Canis lupus familiaris: one gene and its partners. The protein of the gene in region 1 purifies or fractionates together with the protein of each later gene. This does not show direct contact. Links are inferred from orthologs where the notes say so. Each region holds a gene or a part of one and is shown on either strand. Other genes may lie near its edges.

Region 1 (4,051 bases):
GAGGTTTGCAATACTTCCTCATACTCAATTGCAACCCAACTGGGTAAAGTAGCAGTATTTACAGCGCTGCCATTGATACCATTCGCTGCTGAAGAAAGCTAGTAGCCCAGTGATAGCCCACTGCTGCTGCCCCAGGTCTTTGGAAGAAATCAACTTATGTTAAAGCAGCAGCTACTGAACTGGAATTGAGAACAAAAGAGCAGTTATTGAAAAAGTAATATTACAATCTTTTAGAATAGGGAATATACTTGTGTGCTAATGGGAAAAAATCATTAATACGTATTTAACTAGCCCAAATAGCTCACTTAATAAAATGCTACCAAAAAAATTAAATTACTTTATCGTAGGAGCCTAAAAGGACAAGTTACAGGTTGTCTTACAAGTTTCCATTAGCTAACTAAACCAAAAATTGCCATTAATTTTACATTCCTATAAATGAGAACTTTCTAATCATATAAAAAATAACACCAAATTGCTGGAGCCTATAAAATTATCAATACGACACAATTGATGCTGTATTAGACATTTAGCTACCAGAATCTGAATAAAACCTTTCGTCTCCCTCCTTTAAAAAAGGTAAACGGTTTACGCTAAGTATTCTGCATTTAAATTCAGCACACTGCGTTTAAGTTCTCTAACATTTTGGCACCAAAATCGCCACATTTAGTAACCGGGGGAGAAAAGGGAAGAAACAGCTTCACTTACAAGTATCAAGACAAACCACTGTGTCATCGAAGTGCTCATCTTCTTCTTCAACAGGTGGCTGAGGAGATTTGGCTCTGAAAGACAGAATTGTCTCCTGATTCAGCTTTTCCTACCCCAGAAAGAACGGGGACGGGTAAAACTAGATCGGCATCCTCTACCTGCTATACTTGTTCTCTTCAATGTACTCAAAATATCCACGGCCATGATCTTCTCGAGGTCTTTTCACCCCTCTCTTTTTATCTCCGCCCTTCTGCTCTGTTTTGCCGTCTCCTATAACACACAACACCCCTAACATAAGGGGCCAAGCCGCGACGCAACCGGGGAAAAAGAAAAAAAAATCCCCCCTCCTGTTTGGGGAACGCAAATACTCCTAACTCCCCCGTTCTTTTCTGCAAGCGATTTCAACCGACGAATCCAACGCGAATTCAAAGAACAATCAGCTTGGAACCGGCCAGGAGCTAGTGACGCAGTCTAAAGACATTCCTAATTTTGCCAGCCTCTTCGAAGATTCGAGAAAGCTCCCGGAGCCCAGGGCGGCCCCGGCCCCGAGCCCACGTGGATCCCGGAGAGAGTTCAGGAAGGGGGGAGGGGCCGCGCCGGCCCGCGCGCCCGCCCCTCCCCTCCTCCCCTCCCCCACCCGGGCCCGCGTTCCCCGCGGCCGCATTGTACTGATCTTCCGCCCCGCTCTCCCCGCCCGGCCCCTCCCGCCGGAAGTGACGTCACGCCGAGCCCCTGCGCTCCTTGCACAATACCGCGGCCCAGCGCCGCCAAAGCGCGCCCGCCCCGGGCCCTCGGGCCTCTCTTCTCCCCTCCCCCCCCCGAGACATGTGCCCGCACCGCGCGCACGCAGCGCAGCGGCGCCACCGCGGGCCGACCGGGCTCCCGCCCGCCGCCCGCGGCTCCTCCCCCTCCAGCGGCAGCTGCAGCTACCACCCCCACCCCCCGGCCCTCCAGCCACATAATGGAGGCGCCGCCGCCGTCGCACACGCCGAGCCCGAGGCCGCCGAGGCCTCGCGGCCGGGCGGGATTCCCCGCGCCCCCTCCCCCCCGCCTCCCCCGCGGCGGCCCCCGCCCCCTCCCCCCCGCGGGGCTCCGGCAGGCCTGGGGCACGGTCCCCACCCCGCGCGGGCCTCCCGCCGCGCGCAACGTACAACGCAGCACTCACCCGCCGCCGGAGCCCCGGGGCGACCGCCGCCTCCGCCGCCTTCCGCCTTCTTCTTACCTCCCGCCTGCTGCTGGCCCTGCCTCGCCCCGGGCGGCGCCACCGTCACCGCGAACAGCGAGGTGGGGCCGCTGCTCTTCCCCGCGGCCTCCTTGGCGGCCCCGCGCTGCTGTGGCGGCTGCTGTTGCGGCGTCGCCGGCGGTTGAGGCTGCTGCTCCCCGTGCCCGTTCTCGTCGCCCGCGCCTTCCTCCTCGTCGCCGAGCTCATCCTCCCCTTCCTGGAAGCCCTGATCGTCGCCGTTCTCGTCCTCCGAGGCGGCCTCCTCCTCCTCCATCGGGCCCGCGTCGGCCGCCCCCGCGGCCCCGTTCTCCTCTCCTAGCTCCATCTGGTCGCCATCCAGGGCGGCGATCCCTTCCTCCTCCTCTTCCTCCTCCTCCTCCTCCTCGTCGCCGCCGGCCGCGGCCTCCTGCTCGAGGCCTGCTCCCGAGCGCCCGGCGGAATCCCCGCCCAGGTCTAGGCTGCCGTTCCCGGGCTCCATGGCGGGGCGGCCCCCGGCCTCCTCGTCGTCCAGCGCGGCCTGGAGGCGCTCCATGAGCTCGGCCTTGAGGCCCTTGTCGGAAAGGCGCCGCTTCTTGAGCTCCTCTTTCAGCTCCGAGACCTTCAGCTTTTTTACATTAACAGGCGAGGAACTCATGGTGAGGGCCCCGATTCACCGCTAGGCGCTGGCTCAAACTCGGCTCCGCTCCCTCGGCCACTGGTGGCGGCTGCTGCGGCTGCTCCTCGGCCCGGGCGGCGGCTGCGGCTGCGGCTAGAGGTGGGTTCGTGCTGCAGAGCGGACCCGCCTGGTGTCGAACGGCGCCAATTCCTTTCACCGAGTTCGCGAGGGAGACGCGGAGACTCGCCTGGCGCGAGCGAGCACGCAACGTCCTCTCGCAGGGGCGGCGCCGCGCACGTAATATAGGCGCCCCGCCCCCTGCGCTGACGGGAGCTCCGCTGCGGGGGGGAGCGCGCCCGCGCCGCGGGGCCCCGCCCCCGCGCCCCGCCCCCGCCCCCGCCCGCCCGCCCGCCCTGCCCTCCCCGCCCCCACGCCCAACCCGCCGAGAGCGCGGCGCCGGCCGCGCAGTGCGCTTCCCGCGGGGCCGAGCTGGGGGAGGAGGGGGGCCGCCTTTCGGTTACAGCGATCCGCCGCAGCCGGGCGGCCTCCCGAGCTGGGTGCTGGCGGCCCTCGCCTCGCTCTCGGCCCCCGGGCGCGGGGCTGCTGCACCCAGAGCCCGGCGGCCCCGGCCCCGGCCCCGGCCCCGGCCCGGCGGCTTCCGCCCGAGCCCTCGGCCTTGCTTCCATCTTGGATGGGCCTGCCTCTTTCTCTCGCTCGCCAGCCCGCTGCTTAAAACGCCTCGAAATCTTATTTCCGTGTTGATGTGTACGGCACGGACGGGCAGGCCCTGCCCGCGGGGGGTGCCTTCCGTCTCGCATTTGGTGGAATGTTCCCAGGCCCTGCCCTGCGCCCTGGATTTTAGGCTCGGGAAGGGCGAGGACAGAGCATCCCTTTTGTCTCTTCCCCAGCCCGGATGGCAGGGCTGGTCCGGCCGCCCCGGGGCGGGAGAGCGGGGCGAGCCTCGGAGGGGCACGTCCGCCCGCCCAGACGGCCCCCCGCGAGCTCACGCCCCCGGATCGTGCCCTCCGCCGCCTCTCCCCCCCCCCCCCCCCGCAGGAACACCCCCCATAAGTCGTGCTGAAGCCAGTAAGAGCTCAGGACGAGTCAAAGGGCCGGGATTTTCTAAGAAAGAAAAAAGAGACAATCGGCTCCCGAAATCTGTTGTGTATTTGGGTGTGTTTTAGAAGTTTGATTTTTCCCTTTTCCCAAATAAAAGGCATGTTAGGTTCTTGAGGTTGCGCACAGGGGGCCAGCACTTAGATACGTGATAGAGGGGCGCATGCGACACCCCCAAGAAAGCCTGCACAGTGACTAGACAACGTCCCACTATCAGAGAGCTCAGTCCTACCCACTGTGTGGTGCTGGAGCTGGAGTAGTGCTGCCCCGAATGTTAACTTGAAACTGGAGCAATACTAGCAGAGGCCAGTATGATTTAACCGTTGAATGCATTTTATTTTTTCAAGTTTCTTCTCCATAGCTTCCAAGAACCATGTGTTTTACCACTCAGTCGTCATAAAGATGAAATACAT
Region 2 (4,005 bases), about 7.6 Mb from region 1:
CACAAGTCCTTTGTCCTCACCTGGGTGATGGTTGCGCGGCGGAGCCCATCACTCAGTTAAAGTAGAGGAAAAGCTTGCGGTGCTGCATGTTGCTTGGCCGTCTCTGAGTGGGTGACCCAGCAGCCACCGCGTGTGACCCTGGGGCTGCAGCGGAGTCCTCCCTACACTGTCCACCAGCGGGGAAGCACACAGACCGCAAATCTCTGCTGAAAGTAGAAAACGTGCGGGCAGTGAAGTAAACGTATCCGGTGCAGAAGGGGAGAAGCCGGAGAGAAAGGACCCGGGAGGGACCGGCTGCCCGCGACTCGGGGGCGGGAGAAAGAGCGCCTGCCTATGCGCGCTCGGAGCCACCTGGCGGGGGTGGGGGGCAGGTGCCCTGGGGGTCGCGGAGGGAGGGGAACCTGGGGGAGCGAGACCTTCCCCAGGCGACTCGGGTTCCTCCTCCTCTGCAGCCTCCCCTCAGCGCTTTTTCTGAACTTTTTTTTTTTTTTTTTTAAGATTTTATTTATTCATGAGAGACACACAGAGAGAGGCAGAGACACAGGCAGAGGGAGAAGCAGGCTCCAGGCAAGGAGCTTGATGCGGGAATACATATAAGGACCCCCGACATCACACCTTGAGCCACCCAGGTGCCCCTGAAGGGTCTTTCAAAGGCTGCCTCGGTTTCTCCTCTAGTCTAACCCGTTGTCATCAGGGCTTTCCGTCTGATAGGAGTCTGATCAGCTTCTCTTGCCTCAGGTTCCCGCCTTCGGTGAGCCCCGCCCAGGCGTGTAGCGTTGCCTGAAGTCCCTTCCCATCCCCTTCACTGCATTTTGGCAAAAACGGTTCTAAAGGCTGCATTTTTGAGGGAGGAAAAGGTGATTATAAGCACTAAAAGTACGTGCAGCACCCAAGGAAAAGATGTAACACCTTATAGCAGAGGATGGTTTCGATCCATCGACCTCTGGGTTATGGGCCCAGCACGCTTCCGCTGCGCCACTCTGCTACTGGTGTCGTTAGCCTCTCAGCATCCTAGACGAAGCTCTGTCCAGTCATTTTTGCACCGCGCCACCTAGTGCCTGCCTTAAAAAAAAAAAAAAAGGTTGTTACTGTGAAATCTGTTCTTATTGGCTAATTTCTGACACAGCAGGCGCTTCTTATTGGCTTGCAGGCCGGTCTGCGAAAATAAGCCAATGGGCGTTAGCGGCGGCGTAGAGCGGGGGCCAATCGGGCCAGAGTTTGTTGGGACGCTCCGGCCAGCCGCGTCTCTGGTGTCTGCTCCTCCGAGGCGAGGGGCGGTTAGGGTGGCTTCCATTGTTCGGGGCTTAGGGCGCCATGAGGTAAGGGCCGGGGCGGGAAGGCGGCGGGCGGAGCCCAGGGGCCGAGGATTGGGCAGGCCGGGGGCCGGGGGCCGGGCGGCGGGCGGACTGGCCTTGACCTGGGGCGACGGCTCCGGGAATCCCGGGGTGTACGTCCCCCGGACGCGCGGTTGGAGCCCGGGCCCTGGGAGCGGGGAGCTCGGCGCGGTGGCGGTGCCTTGGACGCAGCGAAGACCTCCGGGAATGTCTGCCTTCCTAGGGGTGACCGAGGACGAGGGCGCGGCGGGCGCTTCGGGTCCCGAGGAGGCCCAGGAGGCGGGTGAGTGCCGGTCCCCAGTGCCCGCCAGCCAGAGGCACCGCTCGCGGTGAGAGTTGGCTGAGGAGTAACGGGGATCCCTTTTCCTCTTTCAGGTTCCGGCCGTTTGTGCCACATATTCCATTTGATTTCTATCTGGTGAGTAACTAGCTCCTTTTGACCCTCGTTGACCTCGAGTGCCCTGGAACCCCGTGCCTCGCCGCGGGTGCGCGGGGTTCACGGGGAGCTCGGGCCGGCAGGAAGCAGCAGGGTTTCGGGTCGCCTGCAAAGCCCGTGTGCTCACGGGGCTCCTGTGGGCGCTAACAGGACTGTGGTCTCTGCTCTGGATGATGAATGCCCTCTTTGGTGTATCTGTTTCTGTAGCGCAATGAGAACTTAAACGATGGCTGGTCCTTCCAGCAAGTACTCTGGTTTGAGTACCTTAACGAGTAAAAACAAGTATTTTTTGTAAATAGCATGTCGTTTCTTTGTGCCTTAGTGTGAGATGGCTTTCCCCCGGGTCAAGCCAGCGCCTGACGAAACTTCGTTCAGTGAGGCCTTGCTGAAGAGGAATCAGGACCTTGCTCCTAATTCTGCTGAACAGGTCTACTTCTTGGGCTTTCTCCCTGAGATTTCTCTAAAAACCTCCCACCCAGGTTGCTGTTACCAGAGCCTATACTCCGCAGAGGCTCAGCTGATCTCATTTCTCACTGTGGGTACAGGGAGAGTGTCACAAGATTATATCAACAGATTCCATGTGCATTTATGTTTTTATTCAGGGATGCGTCTTTAGGTCAAAAAGTTATGGAAAAATACCCCAACTCTGAGAAGTTGCTTATAATTTTTCACTTTAGGGTATCTTTGTTTCCTGCTGTTTTTCAGGCATCTATCCTTTCTCTGGTGACAAAAATCAACAATGTGATTGACAATTTGATTGTGGCTCCAGGGACATTCGAAGTGGTGAGTTTTAGTGATTTAATCATTGGAAAGGGCAGCCTTAGTGGTGTGGGTAGTGTTTCCTTCGCTCCTCCTGTCTCTTAAGTCTTCAGTTACTTATTCGCCAAAGCCAAGCCTAAGATGGGAAGGAAAGTACAGTGGGATCCCTTTGTGGTGGTGATCTTGGGGACAAGACTTGTATCAGTGTTATCAGCTAGCCGTGTATTAGGCTCTTCATGGGGTAGATTGATTGATCGGTTGATAGATTATTTTAAAGATTTTATTTATCTATCTATCAATCAGAGAGAGAGAGAGAGAGGCAGAGACACAGGCAGAGGGAGAAGCAGGGTCCCTGCAGGGAGCCTGATGTGAGACTGGATCCTAGGACCCTGGGATCTTGCCCTGAGCCACAGGCAGAGGCTAAACCACTGAGCCACCCAGGCATCTCCATGTGGTTATTTTATGATTTGACTTCTGCTACTTCTAAACCTGGGTAATGGGATCCCTGGGTGGCGCAGGGGTTTGGCGCCTGCCTTTGGCCCAGGGCGCGATCCTGGAGACCCGGGATCGAATCCCACATCGGGCTTCCGGTGCATGGAGCCTGCTTCTCCCTCTGCCTGTGTCTCTTTCTCTCTCTGTGACTATCATAAATAAATAAACATTTAAAAAAAATAAAATAAACCTGGGTAATAATTGTGTTGTAATTGAGTTCTGAGAAGAACTAGGCAGTCCTTTATTAATTTTAAGGTTTTATTACTTATTTGAGAGTAAGCACGTGTGGATTGGGCGGGGGGGGGGGCAAAGGAAGAGGGACAAGCAGAATCCCTGCTGAGCCGGGAGCCTGACTGATCCCAGGACCCCAAGACCACTACTGGAGCCAAAGTCAGACTCAGACATTTAACTGACTGAGCCACCCAGGCCCCTCTAGATAGTCTTTTTCACTTCTGCATCTCCCAATCCCTTTTCCAACAGCAAATTGAAGAAGTGCGACAGGTGGGATCCTATAAAAAAGGAACAATGACTACAGGACACAATGTGGCTGACCTGGTGGTAATCCTAAAGATTCTGCCAACATGTGAGTGCATCTCTTTCTGGCCACAGGAGCAGAAAGTTGAGTTTGAGGCATAGGTGTCTTCAAAGCCCAAATTTCTTGTGAGAAAGGTCATTTTTTAACGTGTGTTGGGGTAATAAGGGACAAGGTCTGGACTGTGTGTCTGAAAGAATGTATGGCTGTTACTAAAGGGTAGTGTTTCTCAATTGGTGATTTTTTTCTTCCATGGACTATTTGGCAGTGTCTAGACACAGTTTGGGCTACTGGCAATAAAGGAATTAGAGATCAGGGATGATGCTAAGCATCCTACAGTGCATAGGACATATTCTGCCCTTCAGCCCTCAAAGAATTATCCAGCCCCAAGTGGCATTTGTGCCATTGATGAGAAACCGTACTATAAAAAATAAGGGTGTGGGTCTAGGAGG
Region 3 (4,190 bases), on another chromosome or scaffold:
TCAACCCAGTAACAATGAATATTTATTTGTAGCATCCAGATTGTTTTCTCTAAAATATCGCTTTCCCACTTAAAGGAGGGCTTCTTGGAGAAATGACTGATTCCAAGTCATTCCAAATGACTTGGAATCAGTATATCTAGAAAAGTACTAGATGAATCTACAACATCTTGTCACACCAGAAATTTGAGTCACCCTGGGTAGTGGATTCTGCTTCTGCTGCTCAAAGTAGGGTGTTTGGTTCAGGACAATTCAAAGAGCTGTACACTTACGGTGTATGCATCTTTCTCTATGTGTCCCATACTACAACTAAAAATTTGTTATCTACTTTTTGTCGTGGAAGATGTCAAACGTGTTAGTATAATAAACATCCAATTCCCCATTATCCAGCTTCAACGGTGATCAGAAATGGCTATTCCCATTTCATCTATACTCCACCCACTTCCCTCTCTCCAATATTTGTAAGCAAATTTCATTTATCCTATCAGTTTGTCAAAGATTATGGTTAGGGGCTCAGTCCGTCAAACCTCTGCCTTCACCGCAGGTCATGGTCCCAGGTTCCTGGGATCTAGCCCAAGATCCAGCCCAGTGTGGGGCTCCCTGCTCAGGGAGAAACCTGCTTTTCTCTCTCCCCCAGTACCCACCCCCTATCTTGCTAGTTCTCTCTCTCAAATAAATAAATAGAATCTTTAAAAAAAAAAAAAAAAAGATTATGTCTTGGGACGCCTAGGTGGTTCAGCGGGTTGAGCATCTGCCTTTGGCTCAGGGCGTGATCCTGGAGACCCGGGATCGAGTCCCAAGTCCGGCTCCCTGCGTGGAGCCTGCTTCTCCCTCTGCCTGTGTCTCTGCCTCTCACTCCATGTCTCTCATGAATAAATAAATAAAATCTTAAAAAAAGATTATGTCTAATCCATAATCTACGTTAAACACATCGTCTAAACACGCACATACATAAAAGCATACATAATACACAAAAGAAGTGCTGTAAAGGCAACTTACCGAGGATCACACCAGACCTCCCCAGGACAGTGTTTTGGGGGTGGGGTGTGGAGGTAGGGGGCAGAGTTCAAAGAAAAGTTTCGAGTGTGAGTATTTTTGGAGCGTTCCCAAACTCTCCCTTCGACAGTCTCCCGATTTCCCATTGTTTTAAAACCCTGTCACCCTTTTATTTAACGTTGCCATTCCCAGGATACTCTTCTTGTGTTGGGGATGACTACACGGGGAATGAGACTGAGTGGGGAATAAAATAAAGCGGTTTAAAAGGCACCTCACCTCCGTTATTTTGGAAGAATAGGGAACGCCCTATTCCGTCACAGGGTACCAGCGATGCATCTGCCTTAACTGAAGCCTTAGTCTCATGATAACCGCGCGGTCGGCTTAGGACAGAATCGCACTCTCTTGTCCAAAGAACTACGAATCCCAGAAGGCCGTTCGGCCGAGGCGCCTGCGCATCGCGTGCTCCTTCCTTTCCCCTCCTCGTCCAGGGGAAAGACCCGCCCCGCGGTGCTGTCGCTCGCGCTGGAAGAAGCGGAAGAAGATGGCGCTCACCAGGTGGGTTGTTGATGGGGGTCCTCGATACGGAAGGGTCTGGGAGTACCCACGTTTTTTATTTCTCTGCCCACTGTCTCCGGGCGGTGACCTGGCGCGGGGCACAGAGCGACATGGGCTGGGACCGCGGCTAGGCCCTCCTGCAGGCCTCCGGGGCGACTAGGCCTCACGGAAGCTGGGGTCTTTCCTCAGCGGTTTCCCGGGTCGAGTTCGTCCCCTCACGAGGGCCGAGAGCCTTGGCGCGACAAATAGTTCTCCGGCCTCGGATGCCAAGGAGTCGCATCCCGGGGTTGTGGAGAGCGCTCCGAGCGTCCGGTCCGCGCCTCGGGCGGGCGCGGTGGGGATGTGGAGGGCAGTGGCTTATTTGTCTGGACGAAGTGAAGCGGCGGGAGCCGACGAGCCGGCTTTACCGCCGTGTGTCTGCCGAAGTCTCGTCTGTGCCCCGAAACCAGGATTCCTGAAGAAAAAAAAAAAAAAAAAAAAGATGTGAGGTGAGGGGCCCGGCACCGAACACAGATCTTTTTTTTTTTTTTTAATTGGCCACTGTCTACTAGTAATGAGCCGCTGCTCCGCACTTTTAACTTTGGACCTTAGAATTTCTTACGTAGATAGAACCACTTCAGATTTTTGCTGTTCTCGGTTGCCTTGGTAACCGCGTGTAAAGTGGTCCCCGCCTTTGGGGGGGGGGGGGGAGAGAGATTCCGAGGAGTTACATAACTCCTGCTAGTCCGCGACCTGCTGCCCCATCTGAGAAGAAAAACTTCCCGTATGCGGACGCAAGCAGGAAAAGTTGAGTTGTCAAAGATGCCTGTGAGGGAAATCGTTTTTGGGACATCGGCTTGAGCTCCCTAAACATGCTTGATTCTCCTCACGCTTCTTTTTCCTGGCTGATGGCAGTTATGGATCCCACAAAACGTTTTAATCAGAAAGTTTTTGGGGGGGAATTAATTTTGGGTGCCTTGCTCTCTCTATATCCTAGGGCCTGTGTGTATACACACACACATACACACAAAAAGCCACCTAACAGTCTTTGCAGGGAAGGTAGGGTCCAAGGCATACAGATACGGAAGAAAGAACAGCACAGAATGCTCACTTGTGTGGTAGTAACCTTAAGTGCAAAAAGAATTAGACTGAATAAGTTGGATGAACTAAGGAGTTCAATTTAGTAAGCAGCAAACATTTGAGTGCGCCTCCAGGTGGGAGGCACTGTGGCAAAGATTCCCAGGGTTGTGAGGGAAGGTATTTGTGGAAAAGGACACAGGGAAAATAACAGATCTTGTGGGTTATTGTGGGCTTAAAATTGCAGCGGCAGAATGCAGTCCTTAAATGGCTAGTCTTGGAGGCTACATAGTTTTCTGATTTCAGTGAGCTCTGGTTGATTTGATTGCAGGTGAAGTGTTACCTTATCTCCAAGACCTACCAAGGATTACTTAACGGCAGGGACTTAACATATTGATGTGTTGCAGTATTGGTGTCACCAGTTATTGTGACTAACTAAAGATTTGAGGTCATACTGATTTAGTCCTCTAAATGCAACTGTATTTGGGGTTATGTATCTAATAATATTACTTGCATTTAATATGCTTTATTTGGTAAAGGGGAAAGGGTAGACCAAGGTGTCTCAACAGTGGGCAGTCCCCGTGGCTCAGCGGTTTAGCACCGCTCAGCCCAGGGCGTGATCCTGGAGACTTGGGATCAAGTCCCATGTCCCGCTCCCTGCATGGAGCCTGCTTCTCCCTCTGCCTGTCTCTCTCTCTCTCTCTCTGTCTGTCTTGAATAAATAAAATCTTAAAAAAAATAAAAATAAAAGATGTCTCAACAGTGGCACTGTTGAGGTTTTGGACTGGATGATTCATTCTGGTGTGGGGCTGTCCTGTGTATAGTAGTAGGATGTTTAGCAGCATCTTTGGCCTCTATACATTAGATGCCAGAGGCACCTCCCTCCCCTTCACCCATTCCCTATCCCCTAAGTCTTGACAATCATGTCTCCAGACATTATCAAATACCTACATTGTAGTTATTTTGCCACCCAGTTGAGAACCACTGAGGTAGACTTTCTGCTTACATATACAGCCCACAGCCCACTATGTACCCCTTTCCCCTATCCTGCCACCACAGGAGTGTGCCTCTTGTGGGAATGTCATCTTTTACAAGGAAAAGCAAAATTAAGACCCTCTGGAAGGCTAGAGTATGTTCAGACCCTAATCCAGGCCAAGTTACTTGTTTACTGTATCGTCTGGACCCTTTGATTTGGCAGGCTGCCTGCCTTTGGATCATCTTAGTAATCAGTTCTTACAGCAGAAGGTAAAGAATAGAGAAAATAATAAGTATTTTGGCTTCTTTACACTATCTTTGTATCCTTCCTATGAATTGGGTATATGAGTTATACTGAATAGAATTATGGTAAAAGCCCAAAACTTTTGACTCCAGTCCTCCATCCATTCATTCATCATTCAACAAATACTTGTTGAAGATCTACCATGTGCCAGACACTGTGCTGGTTTTACAGTATTAAATCAGTGCTGGTTTTACAGTATTAAATCAGTCTGGCAAACTCCTTTATTTTCGAAGAGCTTACAGTCTAGGAAAGGCAAACTACTTATCTATCTGTATGTAAACAAATCAATAATGCAATATCAGGTAGT
Region 4 (4,208 bases), on another chromosome or scaffold:
ATATTGTGTTAGCATTTACTCTCCATTTTTAGTGCACATCTGGGATGCTATGGGAATTCTAAAAAGGAGACATTTTTCCTGCTAGGCTGACCAAGGAGTGCTGTAAGAAGATGGGATTTGAATATAGTACTCTAGAAATAACACATAGGTATTAACTATTCAGTGAAAAACAATTTTTTGAACTACTAAAGGTTCTCAGTATCTTTGAAAGATACAAAAAGATAAATCTGAAAACCTAAGATTGATCTAATTAAAAAAAAAAAACTTCAAAGAATATGGATTTAAAACTACCAAAATTTTTAACAGAGAAAGAACAGGTCTAAAGCAGTATTTTTAAGACTATGTTTAGGTAAATAGTATGTGGCACAGAATGAAGGGAAAGATAAATTAGAAGACCATCTAAAATAGTTCAGGAGGGAAAAGATCTGAACAAAGCTGGTGACAAATACAAAAAATAGGGAACATCCAAAGAAGCCAGAAAGTGACTAGTTCTAGACACACGAACTTTCTGTTAACACAGGAATGGCCAGTCAAGGTCCTGAACTGGTGGCTAGAAATGCAGGGAAATCTGAAGGGAGTTCAGAGCTAAAGGAGACTTCAGAATCTGTTTCAGTACATTACGGAGACCAGGAAAGAAGACAACCCAACAGAATTACTGACTGGGAGAAAAAAAAAAAAAAAAAGATCATTAACAGAGTTGACAATTAAAACCATTAGGCTAGGAACATTATTTAAGTTTCTTCCTTTCTTTCTTTAAGTAGGCTCCGTGCCCAGTGTGGAGCCCAATGTGGGGCTCAATCTCACAATGCTGAGATCAAGACCTGAGGTGAAATATGAAATAAAGAGTCAGATGCCTAAGCGACTGAGCCACCCAGGGACTCCTTGCTTAAATTTCTAAGAAAAGCACCATATTGATTTTGTGGGTTTGCCAGAATTCACAATCTAAAATATATATTTACCTGGTTGTTGCGGTTTTCCTGCAGTGGAGAGGTAGCGTCATCAGGAAATGAGCTTACATTTCTCCTTTTCAGCATCTGGTCATCCTTCTTCGCTTTCCTCAGCTCCACATTAACTTCTATTCGGCGCCGCCTCATTTCCTTGGAAGAAGATAAACCACTTCACCCACTATATCAATTTTTGTGGCTAAGTGAGAATATTTATTTCAAATTTCCTCAAAGTTCTGATCACTTCCCAAATATCTTTCCATTTAAAAAATAGCACAGGAAAGCAACAGAAGATACTCACCGTACTGTCTTTCCCCTTGTTCTTGAATCTGTTAAGGCGGGCAGCTGGTGAATTAGCATTCTCGTTGGTGGACATGGTTATGAGACAAAGGAAGAAAGCTGTAAGATGGAGGAAGAGAAAGAAATTTCCCATTTATCATTTTGCTTTGTCAATAAGAAGAGCATTAATAGAATTACCAAGCATATACTGGACCCACACTTGTATAGTAGAGGACTAACTTCCTTTTTCAGCACTATGAAATACTGAACTGGCCCAACAGTATTAGTCCCCTCCTCTCCGAAAGGCTGAGACTTCCTGGAACAGTGCTGTCCATCAGAAAGAGAAAGCAAGCTGCATAAATTGAAAATTCCTGGTAACTACATTTTTTCAAAAACGCAAAAAGAAACGGGAGAAATGAATTTCAAATCTATTCCCTCCGGCCCAACACGTCCGCTATACTCTCCTTTCCACATGTTCTCCTATTTCGAGCTAGATAGATTTTACACTTTTCATACTAATACTCGGAGATCATGTGCGTACTTGGGGCTTACAGCACAGCTCAATCCGGGCTAGCCACATCGGTTTGAGGACTCACACACCACACTGGACGGTGCAGCTGGGACCAACTGAACACAGAGTGGGGCAAACTGAGCTCACAGTTAAAACCGACGTCCTAACGGGCCACAAATCCATATTCCGGAGGCTCTCCCAATGGCCCAAACAGGTCCATTCTCCACACTTGAAAGTTAAAGGAGTATGTGGCACATCATCGCGTTACGGAGGCTTCCATAACCCTGCGTGTCAACACCGAGACCTCGAGACCCAATTCTGCATCCTCAGCACCCGGCAAACATTTTCATTCCCAAGAAACGCTCTCAGTTAGGCGGCTACTAACCCCGCTTCCTTCAAACAGAGCTCTTTCAGAGCGATCGCCAAGGGAGGACAAAAGTACAAGTCCTCCTGGCAATGTGCGGTCTTCCATTCCGTGATGTTCCCTGCCGACGCTGTGTCACAGCCGGGCCTGGGCCTACGTGTTAAGAGACGGTTCTTCCAACTGCCACCGCCCCCCCGCCCCGTCTCCAAGCCCTTCCCCTGCCCCCCACCCGGGAAGATGCAGCGGGGAACGGGCGGAGGCGGGGCCAGAGGGGACAGCGCCGCCCGGGCCTCGGCGATCTTCTGGGCCGCGACGCGCCGCAGCTCCCGCCGCGGTCCGCAGAGCCTCAGCGGCCCCCAAACCCAAGCAATCGCACCGCGACACGGCCGCCTCCTCAACGAACGACGCCCCCAGGCCTCGTCAACGACGGAGGCCACAGCCAGGTCGGGCGTGGAATCCGGGCCTCCCCTCCCGCCACCACAAGCGGGGCGCGGCCTGCCAGCCTGCCGCTGCCGCTCGGGCCGGGCCCTGGCCTCAGTCGTACCTCCACGGCCGGCTCAGGCTTCCACGGGAGGCGGTGCGGGGCGCGCAGGCCGCGGGTCAGCTGCCCTCAAAACGTCCACCGCGGATCAGCCCAGAGACGGTGTGGCTCGTGCTGCCGGCCGGCGCGATTTAAATTTCCCGGTGTCCCCGCATTCCGATTGGCTGGTTCGAGCCTACGCTGCGCTCCCATTGGCGGATTTGAAAAACACGTTGATTTGGGGGGGTCATGGGGCTAAGAAGGAGAGAAGAGAGCATCGCGAGATATGGGAGAGGCCAGGCAATCCCAGAGCGCTTTGCAGGTGGATGAAGAAAGACTCCAGATCCCGGCGTGCAGCGGGCCAGTGCGCTGGACTTTGGCCTCAATCTAGGGGCTCTGCGGGGGGTTCATGCTAGTGAGGTTGCTCCCAGGTCGTTTGCCTGGGCAGCTGCTTTAACCCAAACACCACAACTGATTTCCAAAATAATGCTCTTTAAAATTCTTGAAAGAGAGGAGGTGGGTAAAAAAAGAAAAAAAATTTGATATAGAAACATATTGCTATGAGGTTTTTCCTTGATGGGACACAGTAGGAACTTGGCAGGGGTTTCTGGCCACTATGGAGGGAAAGGATAAGGCAGGTTTGGGCTGCATTTTTTAGTTTTTATTTTTTTAACGTGAGTTAGAAAAGACTGCATAGAAGCCACAAACATGGAAACAGAAGGTTTCTTAAGCCTATTTCTCCAGTCTTTTACTTTTAAATAATTTCAAATACAATAAATAAATAAATAAATAAATAAATAAATAAATAAATAAATAAATAAATAAATTCAAATACAGAAGAATTGCAAATCCATTCCCAGATTGGCCAAATATTAACATTTTGCCACATTTGCTATTTCTCTATGTACACATGCACACACACACATATGTGAGTAAAAGTAATATGTAAAAGCCACGTATACATTTCTGAGCCAATTGTAAGCATTTCAGAAATTATGTCCCTTAACCACTAAATACTTCATTTTGTATCTTCTAGTAACATTCTTTTATATGACTACACCACAGTTATCAAATTCAGGACAAATGAACTTTTTTTGGTTTTGTTTTAGGATTTTTTTTTTAAGTAATCTCTACACCCATCATGAGGCTCAAACTCATGACCCAAGATCAAGAGTGGCATGCTCTACCAACTGAGCCAGTGAGGGATCCCAACACAACTGAATTTTGATGCTATCATGTATTATGTAGTGTGTTCAAGTTCTGACAATTGTTCCAATATGTTCTATGCTGTATTTTACACTTCTCTGAATAAAATATTTGCATTTTCTTGCATCACAAATGGTTACAGAGCATCAGAATTAAAGACCTTTTTGTTTGTGCAATTTTTCTGCATTCTAAAAAGGGCATTTTTAGAAATGTTGTATTGGCTTATTTATTTTACTATAAAGAAATTCAAACATTGAACTTTATCCATTCTTGCAGGCATTTTTGCCAGCCTCATTCATTGTGTAGCAGCCATGCGCTTCATTAGCAGTTGATTCTACGCCTCCCAATTCAATCAGTATGATCCCATCCCCCTAAGTGCAAAAT
Region 5 (4,024 bases), on another chromosome or scaffold:
TCTGGAGTTGATTATTTTTTCTGAATGTGGAACTGTTACATTTTTCATTCTCCCTGGCAACTACTGGCTAGCTGGATTATTAGGGAGCGAGCCTTGGGTCCACACTCCGGGCTTCAGTTTTCTCACTGATAAATTTGTGATGGTATCACCTTCCATTGGGTTGTTAGAAGACCAGGTGAGAAACAGAACCCCCAGACCCCCACACTAGGCCTGGCTGCAGGAACTCAGCGGGAAATGCCAGCTACTTAGGTTCTGTTGCTCTCTGGTAATCCTGGTCCATTTGGGGCCCCGGCACCCATATGATTATAAGGAATCAAGGGATTAACGCAGGCCTTTCAAGCGTGGTGGTCAAGCAGCTCAGATTAAGGGGTTTGGTGTATTAGGAAAAAAGAACCACTCCTCCCCACCTACCATCTTCATGATTTCAGGGAAATGGTTTATTTTTCTTTTTAAAGAGAAATTTCAGCAGAAATAAGTGAATGAAGTCGAATGGGAAATGTGAACCTCCAGCGTGAAAACGACGCTAATCGCCTAGGTGATGCCGGACGCCCCAGGATCGGGGAACACCCCGGCCCCACAGCGTCTCCCGCCACATCCGCCGAGAACCAGCGGCCCCAGCGGCCCCAGCGGCCCCGACGCCAGCGGGCTCCACCCCCTCTCCGCTTCTGGCCCGAGGGCGGCGGCAGAAAGAGCGGGAGCGCTGGGCCGCGAGGGCACCAAGGTCGAGGGGGAGCCCTGCCGCTGGCCTTGGGGGGCGCCGCGCGCCCCGTCTCGGCCGCCCGCGTTCCCCCGCTTGCAGCCGGACGATCGGGGCTTGCCAGACTTCTTAGAGCCCCGCTTCCTCTTTTGGGAAAGCGGTGGGCGAAGCTAGCGGTGCCGGGCTGGGGCGCCCCGCGACGAGAGCCTGCGGCCTCAGGCCGCGGAGGGGTCGGCCGCCGGCGCCCTCGGCCGCGGGGGTCCCGGGCCCGGCGGCTCGCGGCAGGGCTGGGGTCGCGCCCGGCCCGGCCGACCTCCGCGGGCGCCGCTCGCGCGGGTTCTAAAGTGAGGACAAAGCCCGCCCGGATTTCGCGTACGCGCGCCGCTGCGGCCAATGGGGCGCTAGCGCGCGTTTGAGTGACGGGCGAGCGAAACCAATGAGCACGCGCCTTGTTGCGAGGTGGGCCCGGCCCCGGCATTATAAAGAGCGCCACGAGTCGGCATTGTCAGGCGGCGGCACCGCGCGGGCCCGAGTGAGCTTGTCGGTCGGTGCGTCTGTGCGGCGCGGCGGCGGCGGCGGCGGCGGCGGAGGGCGCGAGGTCGCGGCGGCTCCGTTGGCGGCGGAGGCTAGGCCCGGCAGCGCAGGCGTGAGCGCGGCCGAGCCCGCGGCGCCTTCCCGGCGGGTGGGGACGAGCGGGCCCCGCGGCGTCATCGGCGGCGAGGTGAGCGGCCGGGCCCGCGGGCGGCGGGCGGGAGCCGGGGCGGGAGCCGCGCGGGCCTGACGCGCCGGGGCCGCTCGTTGCAGGAGCTGCCGCGCCTCGGCCTAGCATGTCGGAAGCGGGTGAGGAGCAGCCCATGGAGACGACGGGCGCCACCGAGAACGGACACGAGGCCGCCCCCGAAGGCGAGTCGCCGGCGGGGTCCGGCACCGGGGCCGCGACGGGCGCCGGAGGCGGGAGCGCGGCGCCCCCGGCCGGCAACCAGAACGGCGCCGAGGGCGACCAGATCAATGCCAGCAAGAACGAGGAGGACGCGGGGTAGGTGCGGCCGCGGGCCGACCGGGGCGCCGCCTTTGTTCCGGGGCCGCCTTTTGTTGGCGCCACGCGGCGGGGGGAGGGGCGGGCGGCCGGGGCCTGCTGGCTGCCCGCCGCCCGGCCCCTCCGCTCGCGGGCTCGCCGTTCGCGCCGGAGTTTGCAGGAGTTTGTTGGGTCGGCTTTGGCGCCGCCCCGGGGCCGCTCGCGCTGGGCCGGGGGCGGGCGGGCGGCCCGGAAAGGGCAGTGCGCTCGGACCCGGGGCCGGGCCGGCCTGGGGTTCGGCGGGGCTGCGTGGGCGGAGTTGGCGCGCGCCCCGGCCGCGGCCTCGCGGCCTCCCCGTTCCCCCCCTCCCCGGGGGCGGAGTCACGGTCTGAACGCGGTCTCCGGCCCCCGGAAGCCTCGAGTTCCTTAAGAGCGAGTTCTCGGGGGTGGCCTGGAGGGGCAGGGACGACGGCCGCTGGAGAGACGTGCTTGTTCGGCACATGGCTCCCTCCGTGCGTTAAGGGCCGATAGGTGCCCGGGCCAGAGTGCCCTTGGCCCCCTTGCCCCGTCGGGGGCCACCGAGTCTGAAGCTGCTCTAGGGTCAAGGTTGTTTGGGAGGGTGGGATTTGTTGACGCCTTCCAAATGTAGGACCCTGGGGGACTCAGGGTAGATCTGTGTGCTAGATGGCGACTTTGCTTAGAACCTGTACCCAGGAAGGGCTGGCACGTGTCTTTACCATTTCAGAAAAATGTTCGTTGGAGGCCTGAGCTGGGATACCAGCAAAAAGGACCTAAAGGATTATTTTACCAAATTTGGAGAGGTCGTTGACTGTACCATAAAAATGGATCCAAACACTGGCCGGTCAAGAGGGTTTGGGTTTATCCTCTTCAAAGATGCAGCCAGTGTGGAGAAGGTAAGCAGGATATTTGATGTCAGTGGTCTTAAGTTCATTCTAAGAGAATACTGATACCATTCTGAGCATGATTAGTTGGTGTGTTCTGTAGGTGGTTGAGCTTTGGGGAAAAACAGGTGAGGAACTTAACTGTTTTTGAAGGGATTAAAAATACAGATTAAGGGGTGGGTAGTAGGTATGGACTCAGGTCGTGCAGGAAGAGTTTAATTGGTGTTTGATGCCTACACTGGCACTGATAAAGCCATTGTTTTATGAGCACTAGAATAAGGAGTCTAGAGTTGCTGTGGAGTAGGCATTATTTTAGTCTCATTTTACAGAAAATACTCAGAAGTGTAAGTAGAAGAGTTTATACACCAGAAAGGGGTGGTTTCCAACCGAGCAGCCCACCCTCAGCCTGGACTCTTCATCACCGTTTCTTTACTTTTGAGAGACCAGCTTTAAACTGCTGCTCCTGGGAAAGCTGGTGGGGGCCGGGGTGGGCTGTAGGTATTCAGATAAAAGAGCTGTACTTGAAGTTAGATGAAGTTCGGTTGCTAAGTCAGATTGAGGGTAGTTTGGAGGGGATGAACAAGTTTGTGTACCAGTGTTGGGGCCTGTGTGGCTCAAGGAAGGGCCTTGGTGAGGGTGGTGCTGCTGAGTTAAAACTTGGTTTTCTTCTGTTGGGACAGGTTCTAGACCAGAAGGAACACAGGCTGGATGGCCGTGTCATTGACCCCAAAAAGGCCATGGCCATGAAAAAGGATCCGGTAAAGAAAATTTTTGTAGGGGGTCTGAATCCTGAAGCCACTGAGGAGAAGATCAGAGAATACTTTGGCGAGTTTGGGGAGGTGAGTGTGTGACTTTGGGAGTGACTTGCCAGTTGCCTTGAGCTTGCTTTCTCCCTTGGCTGGCCATTGCCCTCGTCAGCAAGGCCTTCCTAGGGTCTTTTCTCCTTGGAGATCCCTACGGGTCCTGGGGGCTAGGTAGGAAGAGGCATTATTGGTTCTGAGCTTTGCATATATTTACAGATTGAGGCCATTGAGCTTCCAATGGATCCAAAGTCGAACAAAAGACGAGGTTTTGTCTTCATCACCTTTAAAGAAGAAGAACCTGTGAAGAAGGTTCTGGAGAAAAAGTTCCATACCATCAGTGGAAGTAAGGTGAGGTATCCAACTCTGTATTTTGGCCTCCTGCTGCTGGAGAGCTGGCTCTCACAGGTGTGGGTTAGGAGTTGGGCTCCCTCTCCAGGGCAGTTTGACCCTACTGTTATTTTTTTTTTTGCAGTGTCTGCTGTCCTGATTGGGGCAGATGGTCCTGTCCTTCAGGGAGTCCCTAGGCTGGTGGCATTGGCAGAAACCCAGGATGTGTGGGAGGCAGGAGAAAGGGTGGTTTGTATGGGATGGAGCATGTTGAGTAGCC
Region 6 (4,167 bases), about 6.2 Mb from region 1:
GCCGAGAGTGCCGGGTCAAGCACCCCCACCCCAAGCCCACCTCCTGGGCCACTCTGCGCGGCCGTGGGATGGGGGGGATGCTCCCGCCGCGCCTCCGCGACGCGCCAGCCGACCTGTCAGGGGCCGGGGCGACTCCGCCTCCGCTCCCGACTTTCCCGCCCCCTCCCCGGGTCGGGAGCCCGCCCACCAGGGGCACCCCTTCCCCCTCGCCGGGAGGGACTTCCCGGTCCGCGCAGGATCCCCTCGCCTCCTCCCCTCCCCCACCCCGCCGCCGCTCCCCGGAGAGGTCCAGGTCCGGGAGCTGACAGTGGCTCCCGGGCCGCTGAGGCTCGCCCGGCTCCCGGAGCACTTAGGCCCGAAGCCTTGGCGGGCGGTTATGCTCACCGTGTCAGAGGCCGCGGCCGAACGAGAGGAGAGTGCAGGGAAGTGGGGAAGGGGGGCGGCCGCCAGCAGGCTCCTCCGCGTCCCCGGGTCGGCGGCCGATCCCTGCCGCCTGTCAGAAGGCGGCCCGCGGGTGCACGGACCGGCGGAAAGGCGAGCGAGGAGAAGAGAACGGCATGCGGCCGAGCAAGGGCCACCGAGGGGAGGCGGTCCCGCAACCAAGACGGGGATCGTCTCCCCCTCCGCAAAGCGAACCCAAAATGGCGGCGGGAGCGGCGGCGGCAGAGCGGCGGCGGCGGCGGCTGCTGCTCGGGAGGGAGGGCGGGCGCGAGCGAAGGGCGCCTCGTGCCCCCCCACCTCCCACCAGGCCCTCCCCGCGCCCCCCCCGCGGCCCCCCCCGCCCCCGACTCGGGCGGCGGCGCGCGCCCGCCCGCCCGCACACGCCGGACAGTCTCCCGGCTCGCCGCTCGCTCTGCCCCGGCCCCCGCCTTCGGCCGCCTGGCCCGCCCGCCCGCACGGCCCCCAGTTCCCCCGCGGCCCCTGTCAGGACAGCCGGGCGCGGGCCCTCACGCATACCTTCGGCGGCGCGAGCCCCGGCCTCCTCCTCCTCCACCGCCTCTTCTTTCCTCCCCCCCTTCCCCGCCCCCACGGCCACCAACCGCCGCCACAGCCGCCGCCGCCGCCGCCGCCCCCCCACATGCCCTCCGCCCCTCGCGCGTGCGCCTCCCACAATCCCCCCCGCCGGACCGTTCCATTCCCGCCGCCGCGGGAGCGCGAGGGGGGAGACCCGGGCCGCGGTGGAGCTGTGCTGACGGCTGGGGCTGCCGAGGGGCGGCCAGAGGTCCACACGACTCACCTCCGCGGCCGCCACTCCGCGCCGCCCAGGCTCGCTTTCTCGCTGCGCAGCCTGGCCGCGTGGGGATCGTCGAGGGCGGCCCTGCTCCCCTCCGCGGGCGGGCGGTTGGAGGCCGCGGCGGCTGCGCGGTAAGCAGCTTCCTGCCCTACAGCCCGCGCTCGGCGGTCTTCTGCGGGGAGCTCGGGGAGCGGCCGGCACGCCGTGAGGAGTACGGTGCGGAGAGCAACCCTGCGACCCCGGCGCGCACCTCGCGGGGAAGGCTTCAGGGACGGCGGGACCGAGCCCCCGCGAGGTAGGCAGAGGCGCCCGGGGCCGGCGGCCGTCCTCGGAGCTGGGACCGAGGGGGCGCCGCTTACAGCTGCGTGCCGCCCAACCTACCCAGGCTTCCCCGCCCGAGGGGGTCGCGCGCGTTCCCCTGGGGTGGATGTTGCACCCTCACCGCCTCGGGCAGCTTGGAAGCAGGAGTCTTTGTAGCTGGGCTCCTATCTCCCCGGTCTTGCGTGCCCTTCAGAAAGTGGGTTTTTCTTGGTTGTGTATCAAAAAGGAACGAAAAAATAGGCATCAAAATTGGTCGACCCGAAAGCGGCCTTCGGAGTTGATGTTGACACGAGTTGGAGTTGTTCAGTCGGACACGAGGCACTGAAGGCAGAGCCGAGTGCGCGTTCCCAGCTTGGGCGATGCGGGTCGGCTGTGTGGCTCCGGTTGTGGCGCGTGTCCTGCCCCCCAGCTGGTCCACAAAACCGTGCTGACCCGAGGCCTGTCAGGTTTCTGCGGCTCCTGGCCCAGCTGTCTCAGAATTCTGCACGAACACCCCAGTGTTCTTAATGAGTAAGTTCAGGAGACTTATGGACTGTCAAAACCCAAAGTCTGCCTAATTCAGTCTGTTTCGTTTCATCCGGAGGGTTTCCCTTTCCTTTGCTTCTGCGAACTTCTAAGAGTCGAGGGGACACTTTGAAAATCAGTCTACTAGATTGACCTCAAAGCCTTATTCAAGCTCTGAAGTTTAAGCAGACATTTCCCCCCATTCTACATTTCCATGTTTGATCAGGTTTTGTTTGCTTGCTTTGTTTTCTTAAGGTAAAGAGCTTTAATGACCTCACTCTGTCTTTGCTTTTCCTACCCGTGTCTTTTTTTTTTTTTTTTTTAAAGATTTATTTATTTATTCAGGATAGACATAGAGAGAGAGAGAGGCAGAGACACAGGCAGAGGGAGAAGCAGGCTCCATGCCGGGAGCCTGACGTGGGACCCGATCCCGGGACTCCAGGATCGCGCCCTGGGCCAAAGGCAGGCGCTAAATCACTGAGCCACCCAGGGATCCCCCCTACCCGTGTCTTAAGTCTCAGTTCGTTCATGGAGCCCACTTAGGTTTGCTTTGGGTCTTTCTTTAATGGTGTCAGATACGCAAATGTGATACCCTACCAACATTTTTAATTTGACGGCAGGGACTAGATCTAGCACTTCTTTTGTATGGTTGTATAGCCCTAATGCAAAGTGAATGGTGGAAATGTTGAAAGAATGTTAGATACTTAAAATCTAAGAAGGGAGAGAGAATTAACGTTTGTGGAATGCTATGTCTGGAGAACACACATTCCTGCTTGATTCTTAGAATGACACTTTGAGATAGATCATCCTAATCCCCGTTTTATACATGAGAAGCCTGAGGCTCAGAGAAGTCCAGTAACATCTTTACATTTTGCTTTACCTGTCCTAAAAACCTTTTTCACTGTATCGCATTGTCTTCATAGTAAAAATTTGTCATCACCAACATAATTATATATGTTACAAAGAAAAGCCACTTAATGGGATTCCATTGCACCAGTATATAAAGAGAAGAAAGTTACTTGCTTGTGGTCCCTGCCTTCATCTGGCTTTCCTGAATTGTCGCCTAAGTATACACAAGATAGTACCCTGTTCTTTTGTATAAGCTTCAGTGCCTATTAAGTCTCAGTAAAGTGACCTTTTCTAATGAATGAAACCTGAATTACTTGAACCAGGAAAGGTATGGAAGGCAGAATAATGGTCCCCCAAAGATGCCCGTGGCCCAGTCCCTGGAGCCTGGGCATATGTTATATTACATGGCAAGAGGGAATTAAGGATGCAGTTGGAATTAAATTTGCTAATCAGCTAACCTTAAAATAGGGAGATTATCCTGGATTATGTGGTAGGCCCACTGTAAGTACAAGAGCTGTGAAAAGATGGAAGAGGGAGAAGAGTCAACATCTGAATGCTGCTATGTGACAAAGCCTTGACCAGCTGTTGCAGGCTTTGAAGATGAAAGAGCAGCCTCTAAAAGCTGCAAAAGTCAGAAAACCAGGTTCTCTACTAGAGCATCCAGAAAGAACACAACCAAACATATACACCTTGATTTTGTTCAACTACAGAACTCTGAGATGACAAATTTGTGTAGTTTTATGCCACTAAGTTTGTAGTAATTTGTCACAGCAGCTGAAAACTAATGCAGAAAGAGGAGCCAAATCATGATTGACCTCCAGAATACCTGCTTTGGATTGTGGTTTTGTGTTTTAATTCAAGAGTTTGTTTTATTTTAGGATTTTATTTATTTATGAGACAGCGCATGAGCAGGGGGGATGGGAGGGAATGAGCAAAGGGAGTGGGACAAGCAGACTCGCGCTGAATGTGGAATTGGATGCGAGGCTTGATGCCAGGACCCTGAAATCATGACCTGAGCAGAAATCTAGAGTCTGATGCTTAGCAGACTAAGCAACCCTGGCACCCCAGTGCTGTAATTCAAATGAGGATGTGGTTCATCTGAAAGTTTGCCCCAAGCAAAGTGATCCACACTCAACCAAGCTGCCTGGATTTCCTGTATTTTCCTGCTGCTATGCTTCTGGCATGAGTCCTCAAGCTGTAAATAGACAGCTGGGTTCTCTGGTCCTGCTGTATTGCAGCAGTCTTTGCTAAGCTGCCTT
Region 7 (4,103 bases), on another chromosome or scaffold:
CTCTGAGGAAGGAGAAAAGAGGGGACAGGTCAGCTTCGTCACTGCCCTGGCCAGTCCATCTGGTCCTACCCAAGAAGGGCTAAAACAACAGGAGCGGAGGCTACCTTGTTTTGAGCACTTTATGTGCAAAGCATTGTTCAAAGCACCCTTACTAACTTATGTAATGCTGGAAAACAAGTGTCAAGCCTGTTATCCCCTTTTGGCAGATAAGGAAAGTAAGGCACACAGAGATTAAATGACTTGCCCAAGGTCACGCTCTTGTTAGTAATTAGCATGGCCGGATTTGGGATCTGGATACAGCTGACAAGACCCCCATCTCACCATCTTTCTATGTCAGAGCGTATCACCCGAATCTCCAGGTTCCCTCTCTTTCTAGGTCTCCCTGTCATGCCCTGGGTCTCCATCGCCGGCGGGGGTTGGGGGGGCATCCCTCGCGTCTCTGTCCACTCCCGCTCTGGGCCTCCAGTCCTCCTTCCCTCTGAATCTTTATCCCCCAAGTCTTCCCTTCTCTTTCAGGAGGCTTTTACCCATTCCCTCTCCACCCCCATACCCCAAGGCTGGGGCTTCGGTGTGCCTCCTCCGCATTCCAGTACCGTGTAAAGCCCTCACATGGAGCCCGCGGGGCCACTCGAATCTCCTGCAGGGAAAAGCGGCCCCCAAGGGGTAGAGGCTGAGGCGGGGCTCAGAAAATGGGCAAGGGGAGGAGAGGAATATAAAAATTGGAAATACAGGATGCTATAGACTGGGCTGCAGCAAGAAGATCTCGGGTTAGATCTCAAGTAGGACTTCCCGAGCTACGGCGGCGCCTGGGAAGCACCGCGCGAGATAAGAGAGGTGAGCCCGATAAGGAAACGCCTGAAGCGTGGGGTTAGTGGTTTCCCGAGGTCCTGACAGGCCCCGCCAGCTCCGCCTCCTCACCTCCAATACTCGGCCCGCCGGGTCCTCCAAGGAGCCACAGAGAGGCCGTCGGCGTCGGGCCAGAGCGTCACCGTGCGACGCGACCTCCTAGCGCCGCACATCTCTCTCGCTGCCAATTCCCTTTCTTCCGGAAGACTATCGAGAACTAGGAAGGGCCAGAGAGGCCCCCGACGTGGTCGCCGCCCCTCCACCCTTGACGCAGCGCTTGTTCTCCGTGGGTGGTGGTTCGTCCACTTATTCCGGAATCGCCCATTCGACGCTCTGCGATTCGCCATAGAGAGGCCCGACTCGAGTAGAGCGCCGCGTCGCGCCCGCGTGACGTCACACAAGCGCCCCTCGCTGAAGGCTTTCCCCGCCCCCTTCGGCACTGTTCTCTCTTTCCGGACCTGGCTGAGCAGGAGGCGCCATCATGGTGAGCGTGCTTTGAGGCGCTCCGGGCTCGATTATCCGCCGCCATCCGCCGCGGTTTTGGGCTGGGGGAGTGCTGGAGGGGAGCAGGGATGTCGGGGGGGTTCGAAGGGGGCGACTCCCGCAGTGAGGGGACTGTTTTGGTGGATTCGAAGACCAAGGGTGGGTTAGTTCTATCAGCCTCTGGCCACTCTCGTCCCCTTTTATTATTCTAGTTCCAGTTGAGCAGATAACCCAATTGAAGTGCAAGGAAGTTAAACGTTGTGACCGGGGCCGCGTTGCACATTGCGTTCTTCGCCACATTGCAAAGAAGTGGCAGACCCGGGATTCGGACCCGGGTGCTAACCTCACGTCCGCGCTTGGTCTCTTAATCTTTGCCGCCCCTACCTGGACCTGTCACTCCCCTGACCTGGAACCTTGGGTTCTGGGGGTGAGGGAGGTCTCCACCGTCCGATGCCCGGCTTTTGCGGCCAGGCGGACCTCTGAAGTCTCAGCTCCCTGTCCAGCCTTCAGTCTTGGCTTTCCCCGCCTGTAACCCCAGTTTCTTGGTCTGTGCATTGGGAACACAGTAATCATGCGTCACAGACGCGAGTTTGGGAAGAACCTGTAGGAGCTACACATTGGAGATTCTTGGATACTGAAGTGCTGGAGGAAAGGAGCTACGAATAGTCTAGTAGCTCTACAGCGCCTGACAGGGCCTGTTAAGGAATCTCAGGACAGCAGCCGGAAGTGGTGGAAGTTGTGGCTTCCTTCAGTTTTCTTAGCTGAAGTGGGCAAACTTGTCTCCTCGGGCTGTTGGATTCAAGAAGCTAGTGCATGGAAGATTCTAGTACTGGTTCTGTGTGGAGTAAGTTCCTAACAAAGGTTCTTTGCTGTATTATTAGGTAGAGTCTGCCCTTGGGTCATGTTCTTGAAAAATACCACTTTTGGGGGATGCCTGGGTGGCTCAGTTGGTTAATCATCTGCCTTTGGCTCAGGTCGTGATGCTGGGGTCCTTGGATGGAGCCCCAGGTTGAGCCCCATCAGGGCTCCCTCCTCAGTGGGGAGTCTGCTTCTCTCTTGTGCTCTTTCTTTGTCAAATAACATTTTTTTAAAAAAATACAGCTTCTGAAGAATTAAAATTTGTTAGTGGATGTAAGTCCTTTAAAGCTTTTTAAGATGCCATGTGCTGAAGGTTTTGTGTGTGGATTTAATACTTTTCTTATGTTGGGGTTGTTGGAATCCCAGGTCTTCTAAGGGTGGACTTGGGATTTGTTGTCTCTTCAACAAATGAGGCCCTCTCTCTTCCTCAGAGAGGAAGAGTTCTGGGGGTGAGCTGCCAGAGAGAGTTGGGCCCACGGTCTATTCTTATCTCTGCAGGGAGTCGACATCCGCCACAACAAGGACCGAAAGGTTCGGCGCAAGGAGCCCAAGAGCCAGGACATCTACCTGAGACTGTTGGTTAAGGTGAGGTTGAGGCCGGAGCCCCTTAGGTGCCACCTAGAACTGCAGCTTCTAGAACCTCCTTTCTAGTATCAGGCTTCTCCAGGGGCCTGCAGGGCAGGCTCCTGTCTGTGGTTCTGCCCAGGGCTCCTGGAGTTTCAGTGTCCTCAGCCTCAGGGCTTATACAGCTGGGGAGTGGGGAGGGGAATTGGGGGGGCTAGGGGATGGGAAGCCATAAAAACCTTGGCAGCCCAAACCGGTTTTTTGTTAAGTTGAAGGTTGGAAGAATGGTGGGGGCTACCTACCCTGGGTTCCTATTCTGACTTTTCTCTGACCTACAGCTGTACAGGTTTCTGGCCAGACGAACCAACTCTACCTTTAACCAGGTTGTGTTGAAGAGGTTGTTCATGAGTCGCACCAACCGGCCACCTCTGTCCCTTTCCCGGATGGTGAGGAGCTGATTCCGTGGGTGACTGGATTGTGTCTTAGAGCCTAGCTTGGGGCAAGGTTGCGGGGGCTCAGAGCCTGGCCATCAGCTGGTTTCCTTCATCCCTTGGTGTGTGCAGAGCTCCAACCCTTGACCCTGGGGCTTATAGTTAAACAGCAGTGGGGGGATCTCTGGGTGGCGCAGCGGTTTGGCGCCTGCCTTTGGCCCAGGGCGCGATCCTGGAGATCCGGGATCGAATCCCACATCAGGCTCCCGGTGCATGGAGCCTGCTTCTCTCTCTGCCTCTCTCTCTCTCTCACTCTCTCTCTGTGACTATCATAAATGAATAAAAAATTAAAAAATTAAAAAAAAAAAACAGCAGTGGGTATTTGAGCAACTTGGGCTCATCTTGTCGTCGTGAAGTTGGGGTGGTTGTAGTGGCTTCAGGTGGCCTGCTGTCACATGACACTGGTCTCAGGTGTCATAAGCTCTCCTGAAGGAGAGATCTGTTGAAAGGTCTGCATTTTGTCTCTGGTGTTTTTCCCGCCTGGACTGGAGGTTCAGCCTATGCTGATTGAAAAGCTTGTGGCATGGGTGGGTTCAACCCCTTTGGGGCCCAGCTGTCTCAGGCCTTGGGATGCCTGAAGCAATGAGGTTGGAGTGAAATGCCAGAAGGAACTTCCCTTAATGTGGAATTATCCTTCTCCCAAAGATCCGGAAGATGAAACTGCCTGGCCGGGAAAACAAAACAGCTGTGGTTGTAGGAACCATAACGGATGATGTGCGTGTCCAGGAGGTGCCCAAGCTGAAGGTATGTGGAGGGGGCTCAGGAGTGTGGTGGGTGGGCCAGAGCCCAGACTCGCAGTAGAGTCTGCTGACCTGGCTCACTGCTGATGACCTCTGTCAGAGTGCCTTGAGGCTTGTGATG

What was found.
Region 2: the proteins of HNRNPU (region 1) and ILF2 fractionate together in Homo sapiens (co-fractionation; 3 studies listed by BioGRID and IntAct, with this or other methods). This does not show direct contact. The link is inferred for Canis lupus familiaris from reciprocal best matches to the Homo sapiens genes HNRNPU and ILF2.
Region 3: the proteins of HNRNPU (region 1) and SNW1 purify together in Homo sapiens (affinity purification with mass spectrometry; 3 studies listed by BioGRID and IntAct, with this or other methods). This does not show direct contact. The link is inferred for Canis lupus familiaris from reciprocal best matches to the Homo sapiens genes HNRNPU and SNW1.
Region 4: the proteins of HNRNPU (region 1) and KPNA2 purify together in Homo sapiens (affinity purification with mass spectrometry; 3 studies listed by BioGRID and IntAct, with this or other methods). This does not show direct contact. The link is inferred for Canis lupus familiaris from reciprocal best matches to the Homo sapiens genes HNRNPU and KPNA2.
Region 5: the proteins of HNRNPU (region 1) and HNRNPAB purify together in Homo sapiens (affinity purification with mass spectrometry; 4 studies listed by BioGRID and IntAct, with this or other methods). This does not show direct contact. The link is inferred for Canis lupus familiaris from reciprocal best matches to the Homo sapiens genes HNRNPU and HNRNPAB.
Region 6: the proteins of HNRNPU (region 1) and DAP3 purify together in Homo sapiens (affinity purification with mass spectrometry; 3 studies listed by BioGRID and IntAct, with this or other methods). This does not show direct contact. The link is inferred for Canis lupus familiaris from reciprocal best matches to the Homo sapiens genes HNRNPU and DAP3.
Region 7: the proteins of HNRNPU (region 1) and RPL18 fractionate together in Homo sapiens (co-fractionation; 3 studies listed by BioGRID and IntAct, with this or other methods). This does not show direct contact. The link is inferred for Canis lupus familiaris from reciprocal best matches to the Homo sapiens genes HNRNPU and RPL18.

The regions. Positions count from the first base shown.
Region 1 is NC_049228.1:35,785,603-35,789,653, forward strand, and holds the start of HNRNPU (heterogeneous nuclear ribonucleoprotein U), read right to left. Parts: upstream 2,801-4,051; 5' UTR 2,562-2,800; coding exon 1,871-2,561; intron 976-1,870; coding exon 864-975; intron 780-863; coding exon 706-779; intron 1-705. UniProt on the Homo sapiens protein: DNA- and RNA-binding protein involved in several cellular processes such as nuclear chromatin organization, telomere-length regulation, transcription, mRNA alternative splicing and stability, Xist-mediated transcriptional silencing and mitotic cell progression.
Region 2 is NC_049228.1:43,390,676-43,394,680, forward strand, and holds the start of ILF2 (interleukin enhancer-binding factor 2), read left to right. Parts: upstream 1-1,205; 5' UTR 1,206-1,314; coding exon 1,315-1,319; intron 1,320-1,557; coding exon 1,558-1,617; intron 1,618-1,709; coding exon 1,710-1,752; intron 1,753-2,092; coding exon 2,093-2,197; intron 2,198-2,475; coding exon 2,476-2,553; intron 2,554-3,501; coding exon 3,502-3,604; intron 3,605-4,005. UniProt on the Homo sapiens protein: Chromatin-interacting protein that forms a stable heterodimer with interleukin enhancer-binding factor 3/ILF3 and plays a role in several biological processes including transcription, innate immunity or cell growth.
Region 3 is NC_049229.1:50,827,854-50,832,043, reverse strand, and holds the start of SNW1 (SNW domain-containing protein 1), read left to right. Parts: upstream 1-1,390; 5' UTR 1,391-1,534; coding exon 1,535-1,548; exon of another isoform or gene 1,549-2,020; intron 2,021-4,190. UniProt on the Homo sapiens protein: Involved in pre-mRNA splicing as component of the spliceosome. As a component of the minor spliceosome, involved in the splicing of U12-type introns in pre-mRNAs.
Region 4 is NC_049230.1:14,368,000-14,372,207, reverse strand, and holds the start of KPNA2 (importin subunit alpha-1), read right to left. Parts: upstream 2,801-4,208; 5' UTR 2,643-2,800; intron 2,256-2,642; exon of another isoform or gene 2,120-2,255; intron 1,344-2,119; 5' UTR 1,321-1,343; coding exon 1,246-1,320; intron 1,098-1,245; coding exon 960-1,097; intron 1-959.
Region 5 is NC_049232.1:3,625,291-3,629,314, reverse strand, and holds the start of HNRNPAB (heterogeneous nuclear ribonucleoprotein A/B), read left to right. Parts: upstream 1-1,224; 5' UTR 1,225-1,418; intron 1,419-1,501; 5' UTR 1,502-1,524; coding exon 1,525-1,733; intron 1,734-2,457; coding exon 2,458-2,626; intron 2,627-3,294; coding exon 3,295-3,453; intron 3,454-3,633; coding exon 3,634-3,765; intron 3,766-3,766; exon of another isoform or gene 3,767-4,024. UniProt on the Homo sapiens protein: Binds single-stranded RNA. Has a high affinity for G-rich and U-rich regions of hnRNA. Also binds to APOB mRNA transcripts around the RNA editing site.
Region 6 is NC_049228.1:42,030,533-42,034,699, reverse strand, and holds the start of DAP3 (28S ribosomal protein S29, mitochondrial), read left to right. Parts: upstream 1-1,367; 5' UTR 1,368-1,529; intron 1,530-1,781; exon of another isoform or gene 1,782-2,065; intron 2,066-4,167. UniProt on the Homo sapiens protein: As a component of the mitochondrial small ribosomal subunit, it plays a role in the translation of mitochondrial mRNAs. Involved in mediating interferon-gamma-induced cell death. Displays GTPase activity in vitro.
Region 7 is NC_049222.1:108,362,322-108,366,424, forward strand, and holds the start of RPL18 (ribosomal protein L18), read left to right. Parts: upstream 1-1,303; 5' UTR 1,304-1,327; coding exon 1,328-1,330; intron 1,331-2,685; coding exon 2,686-2,772; intron 2,773-3,089; coding exon 3,090-3,197; intron 3,198-3,887; coding exon 3,888-3,986; intron 3,987-4,103.